Danio rerio: one gene and its partner. The protein of the gene in region 1 interacts with the protein of each later gene in a pairwise test. Links are inferred from orthologs where the notes say so. Each region holds a gene or a part of one and is shown in the gene's direction. Other genes may lie near its edges.

What was found.
Region 2: the proteins of stk11 (region 1) and tnip2 interact in binary tests that used the Homo sapiens proteins (3 or more experiments, as listed by UniProt). The link is inferred for Danio rerio from reciprocal best matches to the Homo sapiens genes STK11 and TNIP2.

What each region holds. Positions count from the first base shown.
Region 1 is NC_133177.1:63,068,042-63,073,187, forward strand, and holds the start of stk11 (serine/threonine-protein kinase STK11), read left to right. Parts: upstream 1-1,811; 5' UTR 1,812-1,970; intron 1,971-5,146. UniProt on the Homo sapiens protein: Tumor suppressor serine/threonine-protein kinase that controls the activity of AMP-activated protein kinase (AMPK) family members, thereby playing a role in various processes such as cell metabolism, cell polarity, apoptosis and DNA damage response.
Region 2 is NC_133176.1:40,470,643-40,475,959, reverse strand, and holds the start of tnip2 (TNFAIP3-interacting protein 2), read left to right. Parts: upstream 1-1,660; 5' UTR 1,661-2,060; coding exon 2,061-2,381; intron 2,382-2,840; coding exon 2,841-3,134; intron 3,135-3,222; coding exon 3,223-3,312; intron 3,313-3,490; coding exon 3,491-3,769; intron 3,770-3,902; coding exon 3,903-4,019; intron 4,020-5,317. UniProt on the Homo sapiens protein: Inhibits NF-kappa-B activation by blocking the interaction of RIPK1 with its downstream effector NEMO/IKBKG.

The sequences.
Region 1 (5,146 bases):
TCCAAATTATTTACATTTGCTAAACGCCAGAATGAGAGAATTTTTACATAATTTCTAGACACACATTTACACACATTTCCTTGGTATTTCTTTAGCTTTGCGTTTAAACTGTATAACTAAAATCAGATGTTTTGGCTCTCCTTCCTTAAGCTTCTCACAATAGTTTGCAGGAGTTTTGGCCCATTCCTCCTGCAGAATTGCTGTAACTGAGTCAGATTTGTAGGCTGTCTTGCTCGCACAAGCTTTTTCAGCTCCGCCCACACATTCTCTATAGGATTGAGATCAGGGCTTTGTGATGGCCACTGCAAAACATTCACTCTGTTGTCCTTAAAGCACATGTTAACTCATTTGGCAGTGTGCTTAGGGTCATGGTCTGTCTGGAAGAGCCATTTGTGGCTGAGTTGTAATGTCCTGGCTGATGTGTTGAGATGTTGCTTCAGTATTTCTCCATGATGTTCTGTCTTCATGATGCCATCTATGCTGTGAAGTGGACCAGTCCCTCCTGCAGCAGAACAGCCCCACAACATGATGCTGCCGCCCCCATACTGCACAGTTGGGATGGTGTTCTAGGCTTGTGTGTTTCCCCTTTGTCCTCCAGATGTAACACTGCTCATTATGGCCAAACAGTTCAATCTTAGCTCCATCAGAGCACAGGACATGTCTCCACACATTAGTCTGTTCCCAGTGTCATTCAGCTAATGGAAATCTGGCTTTGTTGTTGATTGTGGCTTGTTGATTTTCTCATGTTGTCACAGAAGGAAGCAGTGTGTTTGAGCTTTTCCTTCAACACTATTCTACAGTTGTGCCTCACATTAACTCAAATGTTGTCAATTAGCCAATCAGAAACTTCCAAAACCCTGACATCATCATCTGAGCTTTTCCAGAGGCAGAATAATCTGATTGTGTGTAAACTTGACTTTCAACAAGAGTTAGAACAATTCCTCAACATATATCTCTAATTATTCTGCTATCAAGCAGAACAGAAACACATGTGATCATCCTCACTTACCTAAAAGAGAAAAAGTTTAGTCACATTAACATCTGACTTTTTTTAAATGGTCATTTGCCCTTTTATACAGTGTATGTAAACTTCTGCTTTCAGCTATATATTTAAAACTATAACATTTCTACAAATAAATCAATAAATAAACATCAACTCAACTCATTTTGCCATTTAAAATACTGCATTAACAAATACTCGTTAGTGTGCTAACAAGAATATTGCAATTTATACAGCCTGTACAGATTATTTAATACAGCACAAATACAGATTATTTATTAAAATATTTAAAAAGTGTAAGAATTACAAAATTCACTCTTACTGTATTTGCCACTTTTATATAATAATAATATAATAATAATAATAATAACATGTAATATATTTAATATTTATTCCTCGTATGCAAGTATTTAGCCTGACAATAACCAGATAATAGACAATAAATCCATAATAAAGGTGTAAATTACCAAGAATTATATAAGAATGCCATTTAGATTCGCCGTAAATCCCCTCTGATGTGCTCCAGCACACCACACATAATAATAATCTTTGATAAACATATTTGGATATTTTTGATTATGGTCATATTCCCAGTACTGGGTTGCAGCTGGAAGGGCATCCGCTACGTTAAACATATTCTGGATGAGTTGGTGGTTCATTCCACAGTGGCGACGCCAGACTTATAAAGGGACTAAGCCGAAAAGAAAATAAATAAATGAATGGATATGATCATCTTCAAGTTGGAACTTTCCTGCGCGCGTTTCCGTCTGGAGGCCTCGAGCGCGTTCACGGATGTGCGCATGCGTACTGCAGCGAGGGGAGGGAGGTAAACAAGATGGCGGCAGCCTTGAAGCAGCAGCAGCTGTGAAGAACAGAAGCGAGAAAACAGAGGAATAAAGAGCGAAAAAGAAGGAGAAGAACGACTGTGTGTCCGTCAGTGAGCCGAGCGGAGGAGGCCAGCGTCAGGTCAGTGTGTGTGCGCGTGTCTCTGTCTGTGTCCGTGTGTGTGTGTATGTGTGCATTAGCCGCCGCTAACCGCCGCCGACAAACACTTTCCTTCCATCGACACAAACACTCATACACACAAACACACACGCATATCTACATGTATACATACGCACACACATCGCGGCTGATCGATGATCCGCAGTTGATGGTCAGGTGATCAGATCAATAATCAATCAATTAATCAATCAGCTCATCTGATCTCCGGTTCTCCTCAGTTCTCGACCGTTTGATAGAGATCTGTGTTTGTGTATTCTGTGTGTGTCGTTGTGTTGTGTTTTCTCTCAGTGTGTGTTCTATTTTCTTGTGTGTAGTTTGTGTTAGTGTGTGTGTGTGAGATTGTAAAATCCTCTTTTGCAGTCTTTTATTGATATCCAGACTCATTAGACTGATCTTCATTCCTGTGTCGCTTCTATATCTCAGTCTAGATCGTATTAAAACATTGAAGAGAACTAAAATAAAGAATAAAGGAGCTGTAATATTTAAAATGGAACTAAAGTTTGTTTAATATTAGCACGTTTGTTCAGTGACTAGTTGTGACACGCTCCCTATATTGTTTACCATGATGCTTTGAATATTGGGTCTGAAATCAGACATAATTATGACCTCAAATCAACATTAGCACTATTTAACTGACTGTCAGCAATCTTGTTTTTCATCAGCTGAAAATGTGATTGTCCTTTTTTAGGATTTGCAAAGAAAACTTTTCTGAGATTATATTATTAAGGAGAAAGTCCAGAAGTGTGAAACTAACTTTCCCCCAGTATATTTAAATGCTGGAACTTATGAAGAGCTCATGCAAAATACAAATGTAATTTTGATCATTATTTTCAATCTCAATCAACAATTTTATATCTCAATGAAAAGCTTATGCAAATATGTTATACAAGCAATGTGTGACTGCTGGAGTCTCGGCTGGGTCAGTTGGTGTTTCTGTGTGGAGTTTGCATGTTCTCCATGTGTTGGAGTGGGTTTGCTCTGGTTTCCCCCACAGTCCAAACACATGCGCTATAGGGGAACTGATCAACTAAATTGGCCGTAGTGTATGAGTTTTTGTGTGTGTGAATGAGTGGGTCTGGGTGTTTCCCAGTACTGGGGTTTTTTACTGGTAATTTAAATTTAATTTGTTTGCACAAGAACAAAATAAGTAAATACAACAAATAAAAGTGCAATCCACACTGTGACAAGCCAAAAACATATTCAAAATGCTGTACAGTTGAAGCTAGAATTATTCGGCCAACCTTGGATTTGGAAATGGAAATATTTCACAAATTATGTTGAACAGATTGAGGAAATGTTCACAGTATGTCTGATAATATTTGTTCTTCTGGAGAAAGTGTGATTTGTTTTATTTCGGCTAGAATAAAAGCAGTTTTTAATTTTTTTAAAAACATTTTAAGGTCAATATTATTAGCCCCTTTAAGCTATTTATTTTGTTTCGAACAAACCGTCATTATACAATGACTTGCCTAATTACCCTAACTTTACCCTAATTACCCTAGTGAAGCCTTTACATGTCACTTTAAGCTGTATAGAAGTGTCTTGAAGAATATCTAGTCTAATATTATTTACTGTCATCATGACAAAGAGAAAATAAATCAGTTATTAGAGATGAGTTATTAACACTATTATGATTAGAAATGTGCTGAAAAAAATCTGCTCTCTGTTAAACAGAAATTAGGTAAAAAATAAAAAGGGGGCGAATAATTCTGAATTCAACTGTATGTGTTTGACTCTTCTAAAGCATAGAAATACCATAGTATGTTTGCAGATATTTAAGAAACATGCTAAATGAGCATGTTTTTCAGAGAAATAATTCAGCAGTCAGTTCTTCTGCTTTGAGAATGTGCTTTCAGTGTCAGAATATCTGTCTTTGCTTTCTCTGTAACTCTGCCCCACAGCCAGTTTTACAAGTTATATTTCAGCACTCCGGGTTGCCAGATGGTGGAAAAGTGTGCATTTCATTCATGAAGGCTGTCAATGTATCTGTGGGGGTCAGTCTTGCTTGCTGTTCCTTTTAAAGCTGCCTATTCTAAAGAAAGCAAAACAACTACAAAGCAAGAAAAAAAAAAAAAAAAAAAAAATATATATATATATATATATATATATATATATATATATATATATATATATATATATATATATATATATATATATATATATATATATATATATATATATATATGGGTGACACGGTGGCTCAGTGGTTAGCACTGTGGCCACACAGCAAGCCCGGCTGGGTCAGTTGGTGTTTCTGTGTGGAGTTTGCATGGTCTCTCCAGGTTGGCGTGGATCTGCTGTGTAAAACATGTGCTGGAATAGTTGGCGGTTCATTCTGCTGTGGCGAGTCCTAATTAATTAGGGACTAGGCATGGGACAATAACCGGTTTTAAGGTTTACCGCGGTTTTAAAAATTCAAGGTATAAAGCCGCTAAAACATTGTGTTATATCAGTCCTAAGGTATTTGTAGGTTTTGTTTTTCATGACTTTTATTGAGTTTTTTTAGGGCAACAGTAGAAAAGTAGCATCCACACCACAAGTTACTGGTCAGTATATGATTCAGTAAGCATCTAAAACACAAATCTCTTTTAAACCAACATCCAGCATGCTGAAGAGCTGAACAGTGCAGCGGCTTAAGCCTAGTTCACACTAGAGGATTTTAAGCCTGATTTGAGCCCGATTTGGAAGTTAACGAGCTCGCCGACAGATCGGGCTGTGATCGGGAAGAAATCTGCGGGTGCTCGGCGCTCGCCGCTCTTTATGTGTGAACTACTGAACAACGCATCAACGAGGCTCGCTGACGCGTCGCCGACACCTCGCCGACACCTCGCAGACGGAAATCCAACATTCAGCATGCTGAATATTCCAGAGCAGTCGGCCGACTCAACCCCACGTGTGGTTAGATGTAGTGACGAGCTGCAGCCAATGAGAGAGCAGATCAGCATGAGCAGAATGCCTGTGTGTTCAGGAGCTCAGCAGAAACATCTGTGATTGGTCAGAATGGGCATCGGTGCACTCGCTTCATTCTGCGTTAGCACAGACATGAGAGGAGGATATATTAACAGTGGAACTAGAATTCTGTAACTATTAGAATTACCATACTGCTCATTCTGACCGTTCTCATATAAAACGCCATACTGT
Region 2 (5,317 bases), on another chromosome or scaffold:
ATATATATATATATATATATATATATATATATATATATATATATTATTATATTATTTTTTTTATTATTGAATATCTTTGGAGCTGAAGTTGTTTGATGTATTTTTTATTATTATTTATATATTTTGTAGTCATTTATTTATATGTATTAACCATTTTCAAATAAAGTCATTAAAAATAAGCCATTGGTTGCCTTTTGTTTTTCCCAGCCGTTCTTAAATGCCAAGAAGTTGCAAACGCAAGCACTTCTACATTCCATCCTCAAATGAAAGGGTTGCCCTAATGTGATCCAAGAGTAATTACCAACTTCATTGCCTATAATTTCACAGATTTACTTCATACCTCTGCAGAAGCATGCCTAAACAATAAAAAATGTGTATACACAGCTGAAATGGCTGTTGTGTGAAAAAGCACCTTCAGCTGTGTTCTTATTGTGACAATTATATTTATATACATGTGCGTGATTGACTTATATTTATGAGTAATATATCACGTCTGTCAAATGCGTGTCAATGCTGTTTTGATACCACAAGATGGTGGCAAACTTTAAAGAACAGTTTTGGACTTTCCCTAGGCAGAACATCATGAACTCACACAAACATTACATGCTCAACGGGACTTTCTGCCGTTTCATGTGTGCTGCTTTTGGCAGAGGGATAAAGATTCTTCGCACTAAGAATGAGGGTTTAGACATTGTAAGTTTGTTAATTACTGTGTAATTAAAATGACTGTTTTATGGTTCAATCTTCAGATCACAAACTAAGCACCGTTGGCTTTCATTGTCTAGACAATTGACAAGATGTGATCCAAGATAATGGCAGGCATTATCCATTATGAAAAGAGGAATGGTATGAGATGGAATCTTTTAAGAAAGGGGAGTTTTAGGCAGTGTTATGTTATTTTCATCCAAATATTCAAAACATTTTTAAAATAATAATTAAAAATACTATTTGGTAAGATTCACATTAATCTAAATATTTTTAGATTATATTAGATTAGATTATACTAAACATTTTTAGAAATATTTTTATTAAAAATACAAAATATTTTTTATTAAAAGTTAATTTGATTTAAATAATTACACAGGCAAAAATGATGAGTAGAAATGATATATATTTAATGTATTTATTTATTATTTATTAGTCTTGAACAAGAATTATCTTTAACATTTTAGGAGGGGGTCCTATGGTGGTGGTGTCTGAAAGCCTCTGGTAAACAGACTAACAGAAAGGTAAACAGTTTCGGTTCCCAATGGAAACAAAACAATGGAGCTAAATAGGAAACAACATGTTACAGCTTTCTTTAGCTAAAGAATTCCGTTTTGTAAAAGGGTTAATCTTATTTTTGATATTGGACTACGTTATACTTTAAAGTGTGGGATATTTTTATAATAAGCTATGGTGTGAATAGACTCCTGCTTTCGATTTTGAACTTTACCTACGTTTCCATATGTAAAGATTTGTCACCTGTCCAAGTTCAACTGACTACTCCCTTCACGGATGCTACTTGAGAATACTGTGCGTGTTAAACTGCTCGTTGTACCGTGTTCGGGAGCGACGTGACAAACTTAATCGTTATAACCAAGGAAGCTAAAAGCAAACGTTTAACCACCACGCGCGTCACTGACAGTATAAAGTAGCATGCTGGTCGCGCGCAATCCTCGTCCACGCGCACCAGGCGGCGTCAAACTGAACTGTAAACTTAATCCGACACGAAGGAGCGAGTCGACTGTCTCTTAAACGTGTAAAATCACTATTAAACCGCACACGACTCGACAGTTAACTCGTTTGAAGGCAAAACAGCGCCTGTAACCCCAACTATTCTCGACGTTTTATGTGCAGTACAAAAAATATACCCAGTTTGAGATGGGGGGAAGTCCCCGTGAGGAAATCCCCTGTTCATAATTTCGAAATTGAGTGAGGCTCTCGCAGACTGAAACTGCTCTGAAACATTTTGGTCTAACATAAGTTACAGCAGACGCCTGTGAGCCCTATGACACTCAGACCTGTACAATATATGGGAAATTTGTACTATATGTGCTCGTTTTAACGGATTGCTCAGCATGGATGAGATGAAGAGGGAGAACGAGGCGCTGAGGGCGAAGTTGCGCAGCTGCTCTACTCTCAACACAATTTACCACGAAACACAGCAAGAAATTGCTCGTTTAAATCAGTTGGTGACCTCCAAAGACGGGATTATTGCCGATTTGAGGGCAAGACTGGGGAAGTATGAGAAAACCGTGGTCATTGAGGGAGAGGAACCTTATATTGTAGGGCCATCGAAGTCACTCATCGAAAGTTTGTGTAAGGAAATTTGCAAATTAAAGCAAAAACTGAAGGATTTAGAGAAAGACACTGCCCAGAAATTGGAAACCAGAGACAAAGTAAGTTAAACACAATTCTGAATTAATAATATGAAATAATTAATAACATTTTCTCTACTAATTAGAGTAAATTTGTTGTTTTTCTTGTCAGTATACTTTTCCAATGACTGTAAAAGAACTGTAAAGTATCCTCTCTATAAAATACTCCAATTCCTAACTCAAGAAATTGTAATGAAATTAATGTTATATCACAAAAACAAAACATGTAAACCAGCTTACAATGTGTTGCTGGTCTTAGCTGGTTTATGGTGGTCTTCAAGTCAGCTAACATTAAGTGCCTTTGAAAAACTGACCAGAAAACTTAAGTTTAAGCTTTGTTTTTCTTGCTTGTTTGTACTGTTAGTCCGGCTTTTTATGTACAACTTTGTTCATGAATACAGAATATGCTTTAGTTTTGATGAAACAAGTGCATTTCGTGTTCACCTTCTCATTTGTGAATCTCCCGACTGCTTGTTTAAGGAGATCCAGAGATTGCAGGAAAAGTTGAAGGAGAGGGATCAAGAGTTGCTGACCATCAGGGAAAGACCAGAGCAGGAGAAAGAGAGGGAGATCCAGCAACTGCGCACCACATTGGCCGAAAGAGATCGGACACAGGCCACCAGGACTGTACTTTGCAACTCTCTTGCTGAAGAAGCCGATCAGTTAAGGGCCCAGTTGGGGGCCACTGTGCAGGTGTGTCAGGAGCTTTTGGGACGGCTGGAAAACGAGAAAAACAAAACAGCCATGACGGATCAGAGAACTCAAGTTCATGAGGTGCGTTGTGGAAACTGTCAGTCTGCAACATTTAAGGCACCTTTAAAACAGCTGCCTAATGATTATATTTGACCTTATATTTTATCAGACATCAGATTCCCCCGAAGTTCCCCAGCTAAATGTCATCATTAGCAAGTTAGAAGAGGAGAACGACCAGCTCAAGAAGAGAGTGGCATATGTAAGGATCACATGATGGAACTGTTGTTTGATCATCACCCTCTGACATTTGTTTTACCTGTGTCATATGCTGAAAATGTCATACTGTAACTGTTACGGAAAGAATCAACAGTGTAAAAAAATTCTTGGAAAATGTCATGTAATTTTTTCACATCACAACTTGTTTTGTTCCATTTCAGGTGGAAAGTTTAAACTCAAAATGGCAGAAGTATGACTCGAGTAGAGAAGAGTACGTGAGGGGTTTGTGTCAGAAGTTGAAAGAGTCAAATGGACTGGCTTCCGCAGATCCGACTCTAACCCAAGCCCCGACTGCGGGACACGTGGCTTTGTTCCAGCAGGAAATTGTGAGACTCAACGGCCTCCTGCAGGACAAGATGATGGAGTGTGAGAGATTCAGTAGAGAGAGGGATGACAATGCGAGAAGAGACCAAGAGCAGATACAGATGCTCGAGCAGCAGGTCTGTATCCGTTCAGTGTGTACAATCCTATTAAATAGGAAGTCGTTGTATTTTTGTCATAACAAAGGTGAGAAGTAGTTTTGTTGTTTGGCTTGCTGCCCATAACACAAATGGCTTACTTGTACACTCACAGGTTCTGGCCTATGTTGAAGACTTTAAATCGGAAAGGGCAGACCGAGAGAGGGCTCAGGGTAAAATCATGGACCTTCAAGATGAAGTTGGGCGACTTCAGCTGCAAATACGTTCACAGGCAAGTCTAATTATTAATTATTCATCAAGGTATTTAAAAATAATTTTAAAATATGCATTGTATCATTTAAAGTCCCAATAAAATCATTTGTAGCATTCTGATTTAGCGTTACAAAATAAATAAATGGACATAAGCATTTATAAGTTGTATTTGAACAAACACGACAGGGTTTTTTCTGGCACAAAATAAGCCGAAGATGGAAGATGAAATGTTTGCTACTTGAAACAAGCACATTTTGCATTCTTTTTAGTAACCCACTCAAGTTAAACATGTTCATATTTAAAAAGGCAGATATTATATGCAACTAAATAAATGACCAATGCTTGAGCATCACTTGGGGTCTGTTGGTTGCCGTGACTGCATGCCTGATTGGTCAAAAGCTGGAGGTGGTGCAAAAAATTATGGAGGTGGCCACCTCACAATTCTCTTTGCAGGAAAAACCCTGCATGCCATTTTACACAAACAATAATGATCAATTAAGTGTTTACCAAAGACAATAAAATGTCAGCGTAATCCCAAATAATTTTATTAAAAAAATAAAAATAAATCAATCAAATTAAAACTATTTAATTTGTCATTTTAACATATTGTCTGAATCTTTGCTGCTATCCCTTAAACCACTAGGTTTCGCCCATTTGACAAGTTTTCAATTAGTGAATTTAGTAAGAATTTAAATTATCTTCTTATTTTTTTAAAAGAACACACTTCTGCTCACCAAACCTGCATTTATTTGTTCAAAAGTACAGCAAAATCAGTCAAAACATGACTTTCATTAATAATTTTAATATTTAATCACAGTTTAATGATGATATTCATAATTAATTGATGAAGAGAACGTCAAACAAAATCAATCATTTTACCTAAATTCAAAAGCTTTTGACATCATACACATTATACTACTTAAAAGCAGTGACAGTCAGTATTTTTTTATTTGTTACCTTTACTTAGCAAGGATACTTTATATTAAAATTTAAAAGTATGTTTCTTTATTTAACCGGATAAAAACCCATTGAGATTAAAATCTTAGGTCCACAACACGACTTATGAATAAAAAATAATAATAACAACAACAATAATAGTAATAATAATAAATAGAAAGTTAAGATAATATAAAAATTACAGTTTAGTTGTTCAGCTATACCACATTACAATATGTTAAAAACACATACACTGAGAAATGGACTGTTGTTTGTCAAAAAGGATAGAACGAAAACATTTGATTGGAATGAGCTCAGATATTAAAAGTATTTAATAGTTATGATTATTAAAAATAATGATAAAGGCATTTATAATGTCAC